4 linked regions of the Xenopus tropicalis genome follow. The protein of the gene in region 2 purifies or fractionates together with the protein of the main gene of each other region. This does not show direct contact. Links are inferred from orthologs where the notes say so. Each region holds a gene or a part of one and is shown on either strand. Other genes may lie near its edges.

Region 1 (4,132 bases), on a different chromosome or scaffold from region 2:
AGCTATTTATAATTTGCTAATTGCTGGACAAAAATAGTACAGTCATAAATATAGAATCCAAATATCAGCATACATAATGGACTACCAACATATAATTACAATATGATGTTAGTGCCATGAGCATCTGATGAATAGTCACTATGCCCATGCTTCATTTCCTCATTGTAACTAATTCCTCAAGTATGCACAAGGCATTTCTTAATGTTTAGAACAACAATACCTAAGTCCTCCTGCATATATTCATCTACTTATGTCAGATTGTTTATAAGCACCAGTATATTAGTCATGTTATTGTTTCAGAGGCAGAACTGCAGTCAGAATCAGGCCCTACTTAGTACTTGCACATAATTACTTGTATGCGAGCTTTCCATGCACAGCTATAGAGGTTAATGAAAGTTATTAGCTTGGTCAGACCAAACATTGCAGCATACATCGTGTCCTCAAATGGTAGAATCATGCCAGTTAATGCCCACCAATTTAGCAGACAAGCAGGATAAGCAGCTTATCCACCCATGTATGGGGTCCCCACGACAGGGCCTACTCAACCGATATCTGGACAAAAATCAGGCAATATGTCAATCAGGTAGGTTTGATTTCCCCATAGGATTGAAGGCCACATCTGTGGGTTGACTGGGTCCTCTATTCGACTGCCTACATGGTGACAATTATGACCCAATTGTTGGGCCGAGGGCCAAGCTATCAGCCTGATATTGTCCACCTCAATGTCATCATGGCCATCTTAAATTGCAGAGAAAAGTATAAAAACTAGCCATGCATTCAAAAGGGGCAGCAAATACCATCATCTTATATTCCTACGCTACACAGGGCAAAATTTAAAAATGAAAAGCGTGTTCTAATTCCTGATACCTACATGCACAATCAAAACAAGTCAGCACACCACTGGAAAGCCTTCTGTGTAAACAAACCCCATTCTTTGCTCAGCTTTAGCCTGTCAGGCTTTCAGATACAGAGCAGAACATAGCCTGCCAAATTTGCCCACTGATTCATAGTATCAAAGCAGCCTGACAGGCCAGCAATTGGATTATACTGTGGGTCTGTGTGCTTCAATGCAGCTCACTCCTGTCTGGAGAGGGTATACACATTAATCACACAATTACTGACTGATTCATTAGGTAAAGAAGGCTCTGCCTGTTATATCTTACAATATCTCACAATCTAAAATGCATACATTACAATGTATAAATATATGAATTACACAATTAAAATTACAAAGTACACTGAATATATACAGGTGCAACAGGCTATTCTTAAGCACTTACTATAGTACAACAGTACTAATGCATAGCCTTGATATACCAAAGTCAATAAAATGACAACTCCTTGCCTCAGACTAGGGATGCACAGAATCCAGGATTTGGTTCCAGATTCGGCCAAGATTCCGGCTTTTTCTTCAAGATTGAGCCGAATCTGTGGGCCTGGCTAAAACAAATCCTTCAAATTATGTGACTTTTCACCATATAAAAGCTGAAGTTGAACATTTTTCACCACGTGCGGTTGTTTTTACACCTTCTGTGCCTTCATTTTCATAGGCAAGTTAGGATTCGGTTTAGTATTCTTTCATGAAATATTTGGGGGATCAGCCGAATCCCAATACAGTGGATTTTTGAGAGATGCAAGTTACGGTACAGCACATCTGTGTGTTTATCAGACAGCACACAGGCTCCCAGTTAAGAGAAGATGGTACAGCAGGAAGAAAGTTTGCTGCAAGCGGTGCCCAATGCATAGAGGGGAAACTTGGAGGAGAAAGCATTCTGTGAAGCCCCTCTATCAGCTCTACAAGGGATGCAAGCCCACCAGGTACTATCACTTCCTATCAATCAGCAGAGCAACATGATGTCTGGGGAGAGAGACAGGGCCATGCAGAGGAAGGGTGGGGGAGGGGAGGCGAGTGGGGGAGGGGAGTTAGCGGAAGGGTAGCAGGCACAGAGGATCCCTGAGCATGGTGACAGGAGATAGGGACATGTAAAATAAACGTAAAATAAACAGCAATTTTATAAGAAATAGAAGCACCTCACACGCACCCCAGATCTCTGTATGAATCAGCCGAAACAAGCAGCTCAACCCGGGACTCTGCAAAGTGAACATCAAGCCAAACGTTTTTAAGATCCCGAATAAACGCTGCTTATTTGTCAGCACAAGATAGGAATCCATCCCCGAGAAATGTTATTAAATGAGAACTGTTGCTTGGCAACCCTGACAGCCCCCCCCCCCCCGTCATTACGCCGGGCTTAGCGGGCAGGACTGTGTGCGATAAAGTATCCTGGAGCCGACAGATCCCCGAATGAAGCGGAATAAAGTCCACACGGCGCAGAAACTTCCTTTCATTAAAGTATCGCACATCCCCTGACAGCCGCTTGTCAGTAGTGATGGATTGGGGGGTCGGGCAGCAACAGGAGACGCGCAACATCGCTTATTAAAGAGACCAAGTACCAAGTAGGAGCATCTTCCTCTCACTCATCCCTTGGGAGAGCTCCCAGCAGCCCCTACCGTGCGCCCTGCCCGGGCTGCCGCCGCTCACATTCCCTCGCTCCGTGTGTGCATCAGGACCCTCGCCCTCCTACCAGCCTAACCAACATGCCCTCACCAGCCCCCTCCACCCGGGCAGCACCAACAATAACAAGGGCCCCTCTGCCTTACACATGCAACATAACTCCCTCTGCTTCCGGGAGCCGCTTCTGCGAGTTCCCCCGGCCATTCGCTTCAACACACCCGACCTCCCAATTGCCAATACATAGCGGAGACCGCAATCCCGGTCCCGCAATTCCAGCTGCGCTTTACCTTCAGTTCCGCACTGTCCGCCATCTTGCTGCTTTGCGCGCAGGCGTAATGAACCCGCCGCGACGTGGCTCGGACGCGACTCGTTGCGTCACTACGCAGGATTCGAAAAAAGGCGCCAATTGCATAAGCTGCGAGTTGTATAAGAGCGGTGCTGCATTCGGGTGGGGAAGAAGAGGGGATACGGTGCGGCTCACATTAGCCCCTCTTTTTGCGGGGAAAGTGTTGCGGTCCTATAGCTAGCCTAAGTGCTGTCGGTAACACAAAGGCTAGGTAGATTGGTGGAATAGACTATACTTATATTTATCATGCTGTGTAAAAAGTGGAGTGAATCATTACTGGTGATGTTGCTCATAGCAGCCATTGAGATGTTTTGCTTTGGTGTTCTTGAAACTTGAAATCTAATAGCTGATTGGTTGCCCTGGGCAACATCACAGGTAATGCATCACTCCACTTTTTGCATAACATGATTAATATACCCCATCCTGTGTTCCTGTATCAGGCCCAAGCATCGCGTTTAGGGAGTTTACACAATACGAGTCCTCCAAAGCAAAAGTGAGACATTTTTGTCTTATTTTAACTTGAAGGCTGACGTATTAAAAAATTTTGTCCATCATTGCTTACAGTTCTTTAACATAGGTGCCTCCTGGGAGAAGGTGTGTTGCTAGATTTTGCCTCAGTAGAAGCACCAAAAAAGCCACTCATTGCTCATTGTCACAATTGGTGACACACATTAATTGTGTCCAAGTGCCTCTATTACCTCTCTGGTAGTCCTTCCTCCCACTAATAGCTATTGTTGTTAGATATATACACTGTACAAGCTGGAGCCTGTGTGGCTTGTCGGCTTGCCCAGACACACCAATTGGCCTATGGCACAGGGGTTTATTCCTCACTGGTTAGATTGTGACCATTCTGCCCGTCACTCAGTTCATAGATATTGAATGGAACTGCTGGTTGCAGGCAGAGCTTGACCAGAAAATTGTTTCTAGACAAAATCTGTCTGTCTCTGCTATAGACAAGACAAATGGAAATGATCAAACACTTCTGCAACAGCAGACAATATGCCAGTGTGCCCCAAGCCTTGAAAGACAAGAAAGCCAAACTGACTGGGGGGTAAAAAAACTGGTCACCCACCAGTAACTCTAACCTAGGACCCCATGGCCAGTGTTCTTCTTCTCTAAAAAATGCACTGGACCTAGGTACTTTTTATTGTACCGCTACACTGCACATGCATTAAGGTGTGATCCACTACAGTCATTTGCATGTGTAGGCACAACACTACCCTCCTCAAGCCCTGTGTCTATTCCAGGTTCCTATATATCTTATTAAATTACAC
Region 2 (4,059 bases):
TCATAATAAAATATATAATACGTAGTATAGTAGTAATACACACCTCCAGGTTATTATTAAACAAGTTAAAAAGCAAAGACCAAAGACAGACCCCTGCGGTACTCCACTAACAACACTGGTCCAATTGGAAAATGTTCAATTTAACAGCACTCTCTGCAATCTATCCTTCAGTCAGTTCTCTATCCAATTACAGGTATGGAATCCCTTATCCGGAAACCAGTTATCCAGAAAGCTCCGAATTACAGAAAGCCCGTCTCCCATACCCTCCATTTTAATTACCTAATTTTACCTAAGAAAACTGGAAAAACTTATTGACTCGAGTATAAGCCTAGGTAGGCCCTGGACACCCTGGACACTCATTGGTGAACCAACCCTAGTAACTCTGGGGTAGGCACCCTGGATATTTACCGCTAAAAAGTCAACAATACATTCCACCATCTTGTTCTGCCCCCTAGAAGCCTGCGCCATGGCGTATAATATAAAGGTTCCGTTTCCAGCTTCAAGAACTCCATTAGCAAAGGGAAAAGTCGTGTCTCTTCCTTATATTTTATTGTCAGTAGCCACCGGCAAACAAGCTAGTATAGGCCACCAGTAGCAGGTAGGTAGGCAGGCCTGGACTGGGATTCGAAATAGGCCCTGGCATTTCAAGTACACAGGGGCCCAAAAAGCCCCCCAGCCCAATAAATAGTGACTGTCTGTGGCATCTTACATCAGCCCCTCTGGCATTTGCCAGAACCCAGAGATTGCCAGTCCAGGCCTGTAAGTATACAATACCTGCCTAGGGACCCACTGACTGAGCTTTCCATATCTGCACAAGGTTGTTTCCCATAATTCCCATGCACTCCCATAGTGCAATGCGTACCGGCCAAGGCCCAACCAGAACATTCAGAACACTCTCTGTAGGGCACAACAGTGATCCGAGGGGGTCAGCTGACATCCAGATAAATAAACGGCTCATGTACAGAATCTGTATATAGTGATGCACTCATTGTAATATTATTGTACAAAGAACTACAATTCCCAACATGCTCCAAATGACCACAATGGTGATTTATCCTTTTGACTTTACTTAGCTAGCAGCCATAGAGCAGGTGGTAGTGATATAGGGTAATGTATAATTTAATAAATCTGGGATTTGTAGTTCCCAGATTGCCTTCTTATCTGTGCCCCCTTCCTTTGTTTCTCTCCTTATCACCCAACACCCTTTCTGCGTACGCATTTGTACATGCCCAAAATATTGTTGTGTGCACATGCATGCGTGCGTTGGTTCGTGCACGCACGCCCGTCCAGCCCTCTGTCCAGCCGCGGGGAGGGAAGAGGGGTGCCCCGTAAAACAAACTTGTTCAGCCTCGAATCCTTATACTCGAGTATAAGCCGAGGGTTCGTTTTTCAGCACATACAGGTCCATGTTAATCTAGGAAAGTCCTGCCCAGTTTACCAAATTAGGAAAACCGGGCAGAGAGTTTTGGCCCAGACAGCCCTTCTGGAAACCGTGTTCTCTGGGGAAACCCGACTATTCAATGTATTTTTACAGTGCAACTGCTTCACATACACCAATAACAGTTTATACAACAAGCTAAGAACAGATGCATAAATTACAATAGGTTTGGTTCTTACACGTGTCAAATGAAATCATAAAATAGGGCAATCATTGCCAGTAAATAGAATATTCGTAGGTAATAAATGAACAGCTATAAACTTTAAATTGTAAAATAATATATATTCTTAATTTATGAGGAGCAGTATCTCTAATACAGGGAGTGGAACGGTCTATTTGCACTAGAAGAGCTGAATTTAAAAATTAATTGTTAGGGGCCTTCTTTTGCCACCCCTGGTAAACTGTTGCACACTCCCGTCTTATGGCAGGAATGGTCATGCTGGCATCATTTTTGATAGCGATATTTTATTCTGTAAGTGAACATGACATGATTTAGTTATTAATTGGATATGACAACTGAAGGAGAGGGTAAAATCAAAGACAACCCTAAGGCAATAGGCCATTAGAGCGCTTGTTATTTCTAGGGTGTTCTAAAGTTTGCACTGGGAAAAAGGGTTATTCTGTCTTATATTCAAATAGAAATGTCTGTCAAAAAACTCAGAGATCAGAGTTGAGACTGAAAAATACAGGATAAATTTGTCACCCAGTGGTATTGGAATACATTCAAGTTAATTAAACCCACAGACATGTTGTGTAGATTTTTTTTTTTAGATGAATTGTGCAAATAAAATTTGCTTGGCTAAGTAGTGGCAAATATTAAACAATAGCAGTGCAGATTTGCAGCTCAACTTAACAGTACATGACAGCCTTTAGAGTGCTCACAAACCAATGTAAATTAAAATAGGGGTTTCCAAAAAACAAAAGTCACTGTGGTAAGTGATACACCAGCTGTACACAAGGATTCACAAATGGGCAGGATTACTCAGCATAAAGCAGATTAAACATGGGCTGTGCACACTGGAGTTTATAACCAAGTAGACCAAATACAGAATGATCCAGTCGGCTTATTAATCAAAACTGGGCAAATGTTAGCAGAGGCAGAATGATGCACACAATTACGAAAATTATATAATATATGCTGCAGTATAGTGATGAGTATATAATAGACCAAAAGAGCAATGGGGTTGCCCAGACAGGCACAGTTATAAAAACAGAATCATTAGCAGAAGCGTTTATACCGATGATGTCCTAAAATGGGCGCCGTACAGTGGAGTAAAATGTCTCTCTTTCAACGTACCTGACGCCGTCCTGTATAATAAGCTCAAGAAAGCAAAATAAAACGTCTTGAAATTTACTTTGATTCCGGATACCTCTAGAATCACCAACTCACACACACAAAACCGAAAGAAGAAATGAGGGTACAGCCCTTACTTCCTAGACTGCAAGCTATCCCCGCCTCTAAATCTTGACTTCAGCAAATCATAAAATTGTTTGCTGGCTGTTACTTTAAGTTGGATTGCCTCCCTCTGCTTTGATGCGGACACTTCTTAAAGGGCACCGAAACGATTAATTTGTGCACATTTAATCTTGCTGTAGCAAACAGGCTACTTTTTACAGTTTACTTTTTCAGAACTTTTCTTCTTATATGTATTATATGTAACACTATTTTGTCTTAGATTAGGCCAACCCAGGCTTGTAGTGTAATATAGAGCATGTGTTACATGTGACCCTTAATTCTTCGGCATGGGCCTCTGCTATGTGGGAGATGTAAGATAGGAGCTGAGGGTGTAGTTGAACTACAACTTTCTGATGCTGTGTAGTGTAGATGGTATAAATGGACGCAGAAAGGTTCTTGCTGGTGAACTATAATACAGATTTATTGGTCAAAGACACAGATGTTATGCAGGGTTATCATACTCACAGACATGCAGATTGAAATGGTACAATGAGGGATTTCTCTTTTGTAGAAGAGAGAGTGTACACCGGTTTACCCCACCTCTTGGTAGAGTCTGGGCCGGGATATACACCTTTCAACCAGTACCCCTTGAGAGATAGTGCAAGTAGTAGGAACTCCTTCAGGTTGATAACCTCTAGTGGATTGAGTCCTCCTAGAGCCCTGCACTGAGACAACATTGCCGGATAGGAGAAATACTCCTGGATCTAATCATTCCTTTGGTAGGCTAATGGCCCTTTCTAGCTAGAGCTGACTATGCTCACTTCTACTAGAGAGTGCTATTAAATAAATCTGCTGTGCTTACTTATCCTCATTCACAGGGCCCTGTCCCTGACTTATACAATTAGTAAGGTGTTCTTTGGACTAAGGTGGCTTACTGGGGCCTGTTGCAGCACCCAGGCTCAGAAGGAGCTGTGCTTAGGTAGCAGACAGGCAGCCAAAGAGGAAGCCACTCCTCCCTGCTAGACGCTATTTCAGTCTGCAGGGGGAGTGGTCAACCTGACTAAATCTATAGGGAATAGTGTTAGAACAGTAACTTAAGTACAGGGGCTCTGCCCAATAACAATAGAGGTGTGAAGAGGTAGAGGATAAAGCCATAGGGAGCTTAACCCTATGGGTCCCTACATATATATATGTATATGATATTTATACATTTACTTATTTTGAT
Region 3 (4,213 bases), on a different chromosome or scaffold from region 2:
CAATATCTGAATTCCAAGTCTGGTGTAAGCTTCATTGTAGGCCAGGTTTATGGAAACTCCTTCTCTTCTTGGACATAAGTTCATTCATTCATTCATTCATGCTGTACAAAAAAACAAACCAAAACAGTACAATATACCCCACCCATAGTGTAACAAGTACACAGAAAATATATGTTCTGTGTGCACAATTGGTTATACCCACATATTCTACATCCTTGGAAAAACTATAGTGGCACAAACATGTGATACAAGGGAATCCAACATCACTGCCACTATACATATGTTTTGTATCTGGAGAATGTCCTACACAGTCACAAGGGACTTCAGTAGGTATCTGCTTGCCTGCTCCTAAAGCCCTTCTGAGTCATAAATTACATAAATCCATACAGATGTTATCTAGTTTATATATATAAATTACATACATTTGTACTGTGCAACCAAAACTGACCAAAACAGTCCATCTATACCCCTTGATGAGACCTAGGGGCACATTTACTAAGCCACGAACGGGCCGAATGCGTCCGATTGCGTTTTTTTTCGTAATGATCGGTATTTTGCGATTTTTTTCGGAAAAATTTTGTGACTTTTTCGTTACTAATACGATTTGTGCGAAAAAACGCGAGTTTTTCGTAGCCATTCCGAAAGTTGCGCAAAATCTGTCGATTTTTCGTAGCGTTAAAACTTGCGCAAAAAGTTGCACCTTTTAAGTTTTAACGCTACGAAAAAGGCGAAACTTTTCGCGCAAGTTTTAACGCTACAGAAAAATCGGGCGATTTTGCGCAACTTTCGGAATGGCTACGAAAAACTCGCGTTTTTTCGCGCAAATCGTATTGGTAACGAAAAAGTCGCGACAATTTCCGAAAAGTCGTAAAGACGCCGAAAAAATCGCAAAAAATACGAAAAAGTCGCAAAATGTTCGTTTTCAAGTCGGAATTTTTCCAATTCGGTTCAGATTCGTGTCTTAGTAAATGTGTCCCCTAGAGTTGGGTCAGTCCCAGAGACTTTCATTAATCTCAATTATATTATAGAGACTGGTTGTGCAGTTGGTGCACATCAGATTATATTAGTACACATCCGATTACAAATGTTATATCTTCCATTTCTCTAATGTAATAGGTAATTGGATGTGCACTAATGTAATATATACATGTGGACGAATCATAGGCTGTAGGGGTGAGTCAGTATCACCTTGGGTGTGTTCTTATTTCGCTGTTTATTAGCTCTACAATAACCAATAACATCGTTGTGACGCGATTAACCCCACACACACACAAATCCAAGCACATTGTAGGCAAGTCCTATTAGTGGCTTGCTGATGGTCACGTGATTTCGGGGAAAAGGAGGAGGCTGATCTTAGAGAGACGAGGAAACTGGTAAGGGCGGGGGGAGTGTTAGCGGAGATATTTGCTGGTGGAATAAACAGGGGAAGAGAAGAGGAAGCGCCCACCACTGACAAGCGAAACTTCTGACTGAAGCAAGGCAGGGAAGTGCAGATATAACTAACACAAGGTATGTGGGTGCAGACTAATGGCTTCCCTGCTGCTAGTTTGTATGCGGAAGAACAAGTTGGTGGGTCTCTATTTGCAATGCCATGTGCTTGAGAATATGCTGTCATTTCATTTTATAAGGACTGCGCTTCTCATTGCACTTTATGCATTCTACCTTAGTAGGTTTGCTGCAAAAATAGGAATTTTTTTAGGCACGGTGCCAATTTATTGCGCCACAGGCTGACAAGGACAGTAGATGTTTCTGGGGACAAATCCACCCTTTTTTTTTAAGAAATAAAGTGTAATACACAAAAGTGAAATTTACAAAACAAATTCCCAACCCCTTTTTCAGATTGATCAATAGTGGATTATGGGAATTGTAGTCCCACCTAATTTTGAAAGGAGAATGTACTCCCATTGTATTGAGTAACTGAAATACTTTATACATAGGGAGGGGAGTATTATGTTTGGAAATTTAAAACTTTATCGATTGATTATTGTGTATATATAAGTGGAAGAAGAGTATACTTTTGCTGGATTAAGAAATGCTTTACATTTGTTGAATATAATGTTTAGCAGTTTAAAACGTAATCAATAGGGCATCATGGTAAATGTAGTCCCAATTATTGAATTCTAAGTAAAGTGTAGTTCCACATTAAAATTGTTTCCACCATCAGTGGTGCGGTTAGGCAAAACAGTTGTATTTTTTGGGGGGGATTTTAACATGCTTATGAACTTTATGGAAAATATTCCAATACATAAAAACAAACTTAGAGGGCTATTTAATATAAGGTGTAAAGTTTCCCACAGTTCTTATCACCTATAGCAACCAATCAGCAGGAAACCTGTTGATTTGTTTAAAAGTAAACATCTTATTGGTTGCTAAGTGTTACTGTGCATAGTATTTTATTACATAAACATATTTAGGGCTGTGACCAATCTCCCTTGTCGCGGGCGACTAATCTCCCCGCAGCGCCATCCCACCGGGTAGAACAGGGGGCCAATACGCCGAACGTGGTCCACCAGTCGATCCCCCATGGATTCCTGGTGGACCGCAATCAAGCCGGGGATGCGGAAGTGCTGCGTGAATGTGTACGTACGCATTCACACCGCACTTCCACATTCCCTAGTCATCGGGACACCCCTGGGCTAGAATGTAAATCGCCGGTGAGATGGCATACCCAGCGCCATGATTTGCCGAACTTTCCTCTTGAGGTGACTATGGCAAACTGCAGTGCCGTGTATGCCATCCCACTGCCGATCTACATTATAGCCGGTGGGATGATTAGGGGAGATTAGTCGCCCGGGTACAGCAACCTATATCAACCTACAAGATGTTTGCTTTCAACAGTTGACCAGCAAATGCTACCTGCTCATAGGCTGATATGGAAACATGCTCCTGGGAAAAATTACAGTGGCAAAACATGGATCAGCCACAGGTGCTGTCTGCCCATAAATGAAACAAACAAGCAGCAACCTTACTACTGTTCTGATCAGTCATGCATAGCATACAAACAATTAGAACAGCAGCAAGTAAAGCATAATTGTTGCTCTTCTTCACTTCCTTGTCTGACCGACATGGTGCATCACAGTCGAACAATGTCCATTGTATATGGATAGCAGCTGACTCGCTGATTGCTGCTGCAAATCTTGATGTATAGTAGCTAGTAGTGATGTGCGGGCTGGCCTGATACCCACGGTTTACCCCTGGGTCAGGCTGACCTTGGCACATCACAGCACCTAACACTGCTGGCTTCCTCTTCTGGCCTGTTAATTTATAGGCACGTGCCCGACACACCCACCCCTTTTGTGAAGTCATTGTGGGCAGGGTCTATAAATTAGAGGGGAGAAGCCGGGTCAGGTATGGTTAGGGTTGGGAGTGGGCAGGTCAGGGTCGAGGGTTTCTCGACCCGCACATCACTAGTAGCTAGGCATCTGGGAACTGAAGTATCATGGGAGAATGGTGGACAAGGCGTGCAAGATCTATTCTATCTATACAGAGGTAGCCTAGCTTGGTAGGGTCTCTGAGGGCAGTAACTAATATGAATCAATCAATTATACCTGTGCTGTATGGGAGTGACAAGTCTGTGCATGAATTTGACTAGAACTAAAAATTCAAACTAGTAAAGAAAACTTTTATGAATGTTACTACCGCTTTCCAGTTGTTGGAAAACTCAGACACAGTCTGAGCCTTACCTGAAGACTGGAAAGCTGCACTTTAAGAAATATGTTCGTATGTGTATGCAGTTAGCATGTCTTTCTTGTTTTTCATGCCTATTTTTTTCAAAACACCATTCCCGAGGCAAGTGTAGAACTTGTTTTCAAACTCTTTGTGGCTTATCTTCCTGGTAGATCTTGTTAGACCAAACATATTTATTGGCTGTAGCTCCTAGATGAAGCTCTTTGCAATACTCGGCAAGTTAAAAGTAGTGCCATTACAACAGGCAACTCTATCACTCTCATAATAACACTCTCGTATAAGGTAATTACATAGTTAATTTGGGTTGAATCAAGTTTAGTCCCTCCAAATGACCTCAGTGTGTATGTATATATTTCACAAACATATATTTCACATTCTTTTACAAGAAATCTCAGTCTTGCTGGTCTTTTTTTTTTTTTTTTGTAGTATTGGAACCATTTACTGTGCATCCGTCAGATTATGTAGCAGTTTGCTACTCTTTGCATGTATATGTATATACACATACATATGCTATACTAAAGTAACT
Region 4 (4,314 bases), on a different chromosome or scaffold from region 2:
AATGGCAGGCAGGCTGTAACACGTAGCTGGCTCGGAAGGCTCAGAGTACACAGGGTGAGAGAGGGGAGTACACTCCAGATTGCATTCTGATAGACTCAACAGGGATTGAGGCACGTGTGAAGGTGAGCTGGGATTTAGCTGGCTCTAAGGCAACTGTAGCCTCCACCTAGTACAAAACTACAACTCCCATCACCCTCGGGAGTTGTAGCTTTGCACTAGAGGGAGGCCAGAGCATAAATTTTTGGTTGAAAAGACCTGCTGATTTTATCTAAAGGTTATTTGCTAAGATACATTCATGTGTCAGTATATTTGATAAGCCGATGATAACAAAGCCTGGCACACGTTGCCCTTTACCCAGCCTAGCTACATAGGCCCTTCCCAACAACCTAGCATACATACCCCTGTATCAGAAGCCTTTCACTTGTACCAACAGTCTGGTACATATAGCCCTTTACATACAGTGTAGCAAATATACCTCTTTGACTACAGCCTGGCACATGTATCATTGTACTCAGAGCTTGAGAACTCACATACATATACCTACAGCCTGGCACATATACCACTGTACCCACTGCTTGGCACTTATGTACCTATACCTATAGCCTGGCACATATACCACTGTACCCGCTGCTTGGCACTTATGTACCTATACCTTCAGCCTGGCACATATACCACTGTACCCGCTGCTTGGCACTTATGTACCTATACCTTCAGCCTGGCACATATACCACTGTACCTGCTGCTTGGCCCTTATGTACCTATACCTACAGCCTGGCACATATACTACTGTACCCGCTGCTTGGCACTTATGTACCTATACCTTCAGCCTGGCACATATATCACTGTACCTGTTGCTTGGCCCTTATGTACCTATACCTACAGCCTGGCACATATACCACTGTACCCACTGCTTGGCACTTATGTACCTATACCTACAGCCTGGCACATATATCACTGTACCTGTTGCTTGGCCCTTATGTACCTATACCTACAGCCTGGCACATATACCACTGTACCCGCTGCTTGGCACTTATGTACCTATACCTACAGCCTGGTAAACAGCCCCTTCCTTTATCTAAAGCCTGGCACATATACCACTGTACCCACTGCTTGGCACTCATGTACCTATACCTACAGCTAGGGATGCACTGAATTGAATCAGAACACTAAAAATCATGTGCCTTTTTGTCATATAAACACAGAAGTTGAAATTTTTTCAGCGCAACCTGCGCACGAGGCTCGCTTTAACCCTTCCCTATCCTAATTTACATATGCTTGGTATTTGGCCGAATCCTTTACGAAGGACACTGAGTTTGACGGAATCTGAAAATAGTGGGTTTGGTGCATCCTACGTATAACCTAGCACCCTTAGCCCTTTACCTACAACCTGGCACTAACAAGGCGACATTGGAAAGTTATGATCATGGCCCTAAAGCCTCCTGCTTTAAAAGCTGCACAGCAAATGGTTAAAAGGGGGAGGGATACCCATTTGCTTGAGTACATTCATAAACATTTACCCTTGCCATTTGCTAATTGTAGCAATCACATAGTTAAAAAAAAAAACAATGCTGCCAGCTCTGTATGACATTTAATACCAATCTAAATTTAGATATAAACTATAATAATTGTGCAACCCACTGCCATAGTAGCTGTTTGACCATTGTGTGTGTTTATATGCAGAATTGTTCCACATACATACACAGGTACATAGCATAGTTTTGCTCCCCAGAACTACCCATACCTATAGAGCTGGGTTGAATTTTAACTCTCAACTTCAACCAGTAGCAGGATGGCCTTTGGTTTATTATAGAGAGGACTCACAAGTGTACAATCTATGATAACCCACCATGCACGCCTTGTACCCTTCACCACTCCTCCATGCATGCCCTGTACTCTCCAGCCATCCTTTACTCCCTGTACCATTTACCCACACACACCCTGTACCCTCCTGCATTCCCCCATACATGCCCTGTACCCTCCTGCATTCCCCCATACATGCCCTGTACCCTCCTGCATTCCCCCCATACATGCCCTGTATACTATAGCATTCCCCCCATACATGCCCTGTATACTATAGCATTCCCCCCATACATGCCCTGTATACTATAGCATTCCCCCCATACATGCCCTGTATACTATAGCATTCCCCCCATACATGCCCTGTATACTATAGCATTCCCCCCATACATGCCCTGTATACTATAGCATTCCCCCCATACATGCCCTGTATACTATAGCATTCCCCCCATACATGCCCTGTATACTATAGCATTCCCCCCATACATGCCCTGTATACTATAGCATTCCCCCATACATGCCCTGTATACTATAGAATTCCCCCCATCCATGCCCAGCACACCCAATATTGCTAACTAGCCCCTTCACTCCCCAATATTCTCTCAACTCCAGACTTGCCCAGTGACTCCCAGCATGCCCCCATCTCAAAATCATGTGTTAAATGTACGCTAGCTTATTGGCCCAGAAGTTTAACCCCTGATGTTCGCAGGAAACATGCTGCACTTACCCTGACCATTAAAGGGCCTGTGTGCACAACATATACACAGGCATACCCACCGAATACCGGGCCAGAGTGAGATTTAAAGGCCCATATGGTAGCAGTGCTCCAAATACCCCCAAAGGCGTTACATACACCATTCCCAAGCAGCCTATAGCGCCCCCATTCTCTGCACCCGTGGTACTATCCTACGCCCCCTAGCGGCACGGTGCAGCCACTACTTACCTTGTCCTGCCTGAGATATCGGGAGATTCCACTCTCCGGGAACCCCCCTCACACAGAGGGGGGCAAGAGCGCTCTTCTCGTACCCACTATCTCCCGGTGCCTCTCCCCACACATCAGATTCCTCCTGGGCCGGGAAGTTTGGGGATCTACTCAGCGTACGGTTCACGCCCGGCCGGCTCCAGCTCCCTCCTCCCCTCCGCCTGTGCTGCCCTCCCCCGGGTCCGCCTGTCCCTCCTCCCACTGAATCAGCCCTGGCCCAGCCTGTCACTCCCGTTGGGGGGTCTCTGTACTGCCCCAGTGACACCCAGCCTGCTCTCTCACCACAGTCCGGGGCGCTTATTAATTCGGCCTGTCCCTTTTTGTCTTTCCCCTTTGTCCTTCCCCTTTCATTTGCATTATTCCCCTCTCAGATCCCACCTCTAATCCCAACACTTCCCCCTCTCTCCTCCTCCCCTCCCAGAGCTAGCCTGGCTTCCCTTGTCTTCCTTTCTCTCATTCTTCCCTGGTGAGTCGCACCGACTGATTCACTCAACTAGAGGAATTACACAACCCTATACTTCTCCCCATACACCCAGCACCCACCCCTCTAGTACTTCTCCCCATACACCCAGCACCCACCCCTCTAGTACTTCTCCCCATACACCCAGCACCCACCCCTCTAGTACTTCTCCCCATACACCCAGCACCCACCCCTCTAGTACTTCTCCCCATACACCCAGCACCCACCCCTCTAGTACTTCTCCCCATACACCCAGCACCCACCCCTCTAGTACTTCTCCCCATACACCCAGCACCCACCCCTCTAGTACTTCTCCCCATACACCCAGCACCCACCCCTCTAGTACTTCTCCCCATACACCCAGCATTACATTAACATTTATTTATAAAGCGCCCACCCCTCTAGTACTTCTCCCCATACACCCAGCACCCACCTCTCTAGTACTTCTCCCCATACACCCAGCATTACATTAACATTTATTTATAAAGCGCCCACCCCTCTAGTACTTCTCCCCATACACCCAGCACCCACCCCTCTATTACTTCTCCCCATACACCCAGCACCCACCTCTCTAGTACTTCTCCCCATACACCCAGCACCCACCCCTCTAGTACTTCTCCCCATACACCCAGCACCCACCCCTCTAGTACTTCTCCCCATACACCCAGCACCCACCTCTCTAGTACTTCTCCCCATACACCCAGCACCCACCCCTCTAGTACTTCTTCCCATACACCCAGCACCCACCTCTCTAGTACTTCTCCCCATACACCCAGCACCCACCCCTCTAGTACTTCTCCCCATACACCCAGCACCCACCCCTCTAGTACTTCTCCCCATACACCCAGCACCCACCTCTCTAGTACTTCTCCCCATACACCCAGCACCCACCTCTCTAGTACTTCTACCCATACACCCAGCACCCACCCCTCTAGTACTTCTCCCCATACACCCAGCACCCACCTCTCTAGTACTTCTCCCCATACACCAAGCTCACATGTCTCTAGTACTTCACCCCATACACCCAGCACCCGCGCCTCTAGTACTTCACCCCATGCACCCAGCACTCCCACCT

What was found.
Region 1: the proteins of stat1 (region 2) and pias1 purify together in Homo sapiens (affinity purification with western blotting; 5 studies listed by BioGRID). This does not show direct contact. The link is inferred for Xenopus tropicalis from reciprocal best matches to the Homo sapiens genes STAT1 and PIAS1.
Region 3: the proteins of stat1 (region 2) and irf9 purify together in Homo sapiens (affinity purification with western blotting; 5 studies listed by BioGRID and IntAct, with this or other methods). This does not show direct contact. The link is inferred for Xenopus tropicalis from reciprocal best matches to the Homo sapiens genes STAT1 and IRF9.
Region 4: the proteins of stat1 (region 2) and src purify together in Homo sapiens (affinity purification with western blotting; 3 studies listed by BioGRID). This does not show direct contact. The link is inferred for Xenopus tropicalis from reciprocal best matches to the Homo sapiens genes STAT1 and SRC.

What each region holds. Positions count from the first base shown.
Region 1 is NC_030679.2:117,659,469-117,663,600, reverse strand, and holds the start of pias1 (E3 SUMO-protein ligase PIAS1), read right to left. Parts: upstream 2,903-4,132; 5' UTR 2,824-2,902; coding exon 2,800-2,823; intron 2,777-2,799; exon of another isoform or gene 2,659-2,776; intron 2,184-2,658; exon of another isoform or gene 2,043-2,183; intron 1-2,042. UniProt on the Homo sapiens protein: Functions as an E3-type small ubiquitin-like modifier (SUMO) ligase, stabilizing the interaction between UBE2I and the substrate, and as a SUMO-tethering factor. Catalyzes sumoylation of various proteins, such as CEBPB, MRE11, MTA1, PTK2 and PML.
Region 2 is NC_030685.2:43,531,927-43,535,985, forward strand, and holds the start of stat1 (signal transducer and activator of transcription 1-alpha/beta), read right to left. Parts: upstream 2,880-4,059; 5' UTR 2,736-2,879; intron 1-2,735. UniProt on the Homo sapiens protein: Signal transducer and transcription activator that mediates cellular responses to interferons (IFNs), cytokine KITLG/SCF and other cytokines and other growth factors.
Region 3 is NC_030677.2:139,369,371-139,373,583, reverse strand, and holds the start of irf9 (interferon regulatory factor 9), read left to right. Parts: upstream 1-1,311; 5' UTR 1,312-1,509; intron 1,510-4,213.
Region 4 is NC_030686.2:39,477,038-39,481,351, forward strand, and holds the start of src (proto-oncogene tyrosine-protein kinase Src), read right to left. Parts: upstream 2,903-4,314; 5' UTR 2,741-2,902; intron 2,610-2,740; exon of another isoform or gene 2,534-2,609; coding exon of another isoform or gene 2,525-2,533; intron 1-2,524. UniProt on the Homo sapiens protein: Non-receptor protein tyrosine kinase which is activated following engagement of many different classes of cellular receptors including immune response receptors, integrins and other adhesion receptors, receptor protein tyrosine kinases, G protein-coupled receptors as well as cytokine receptors.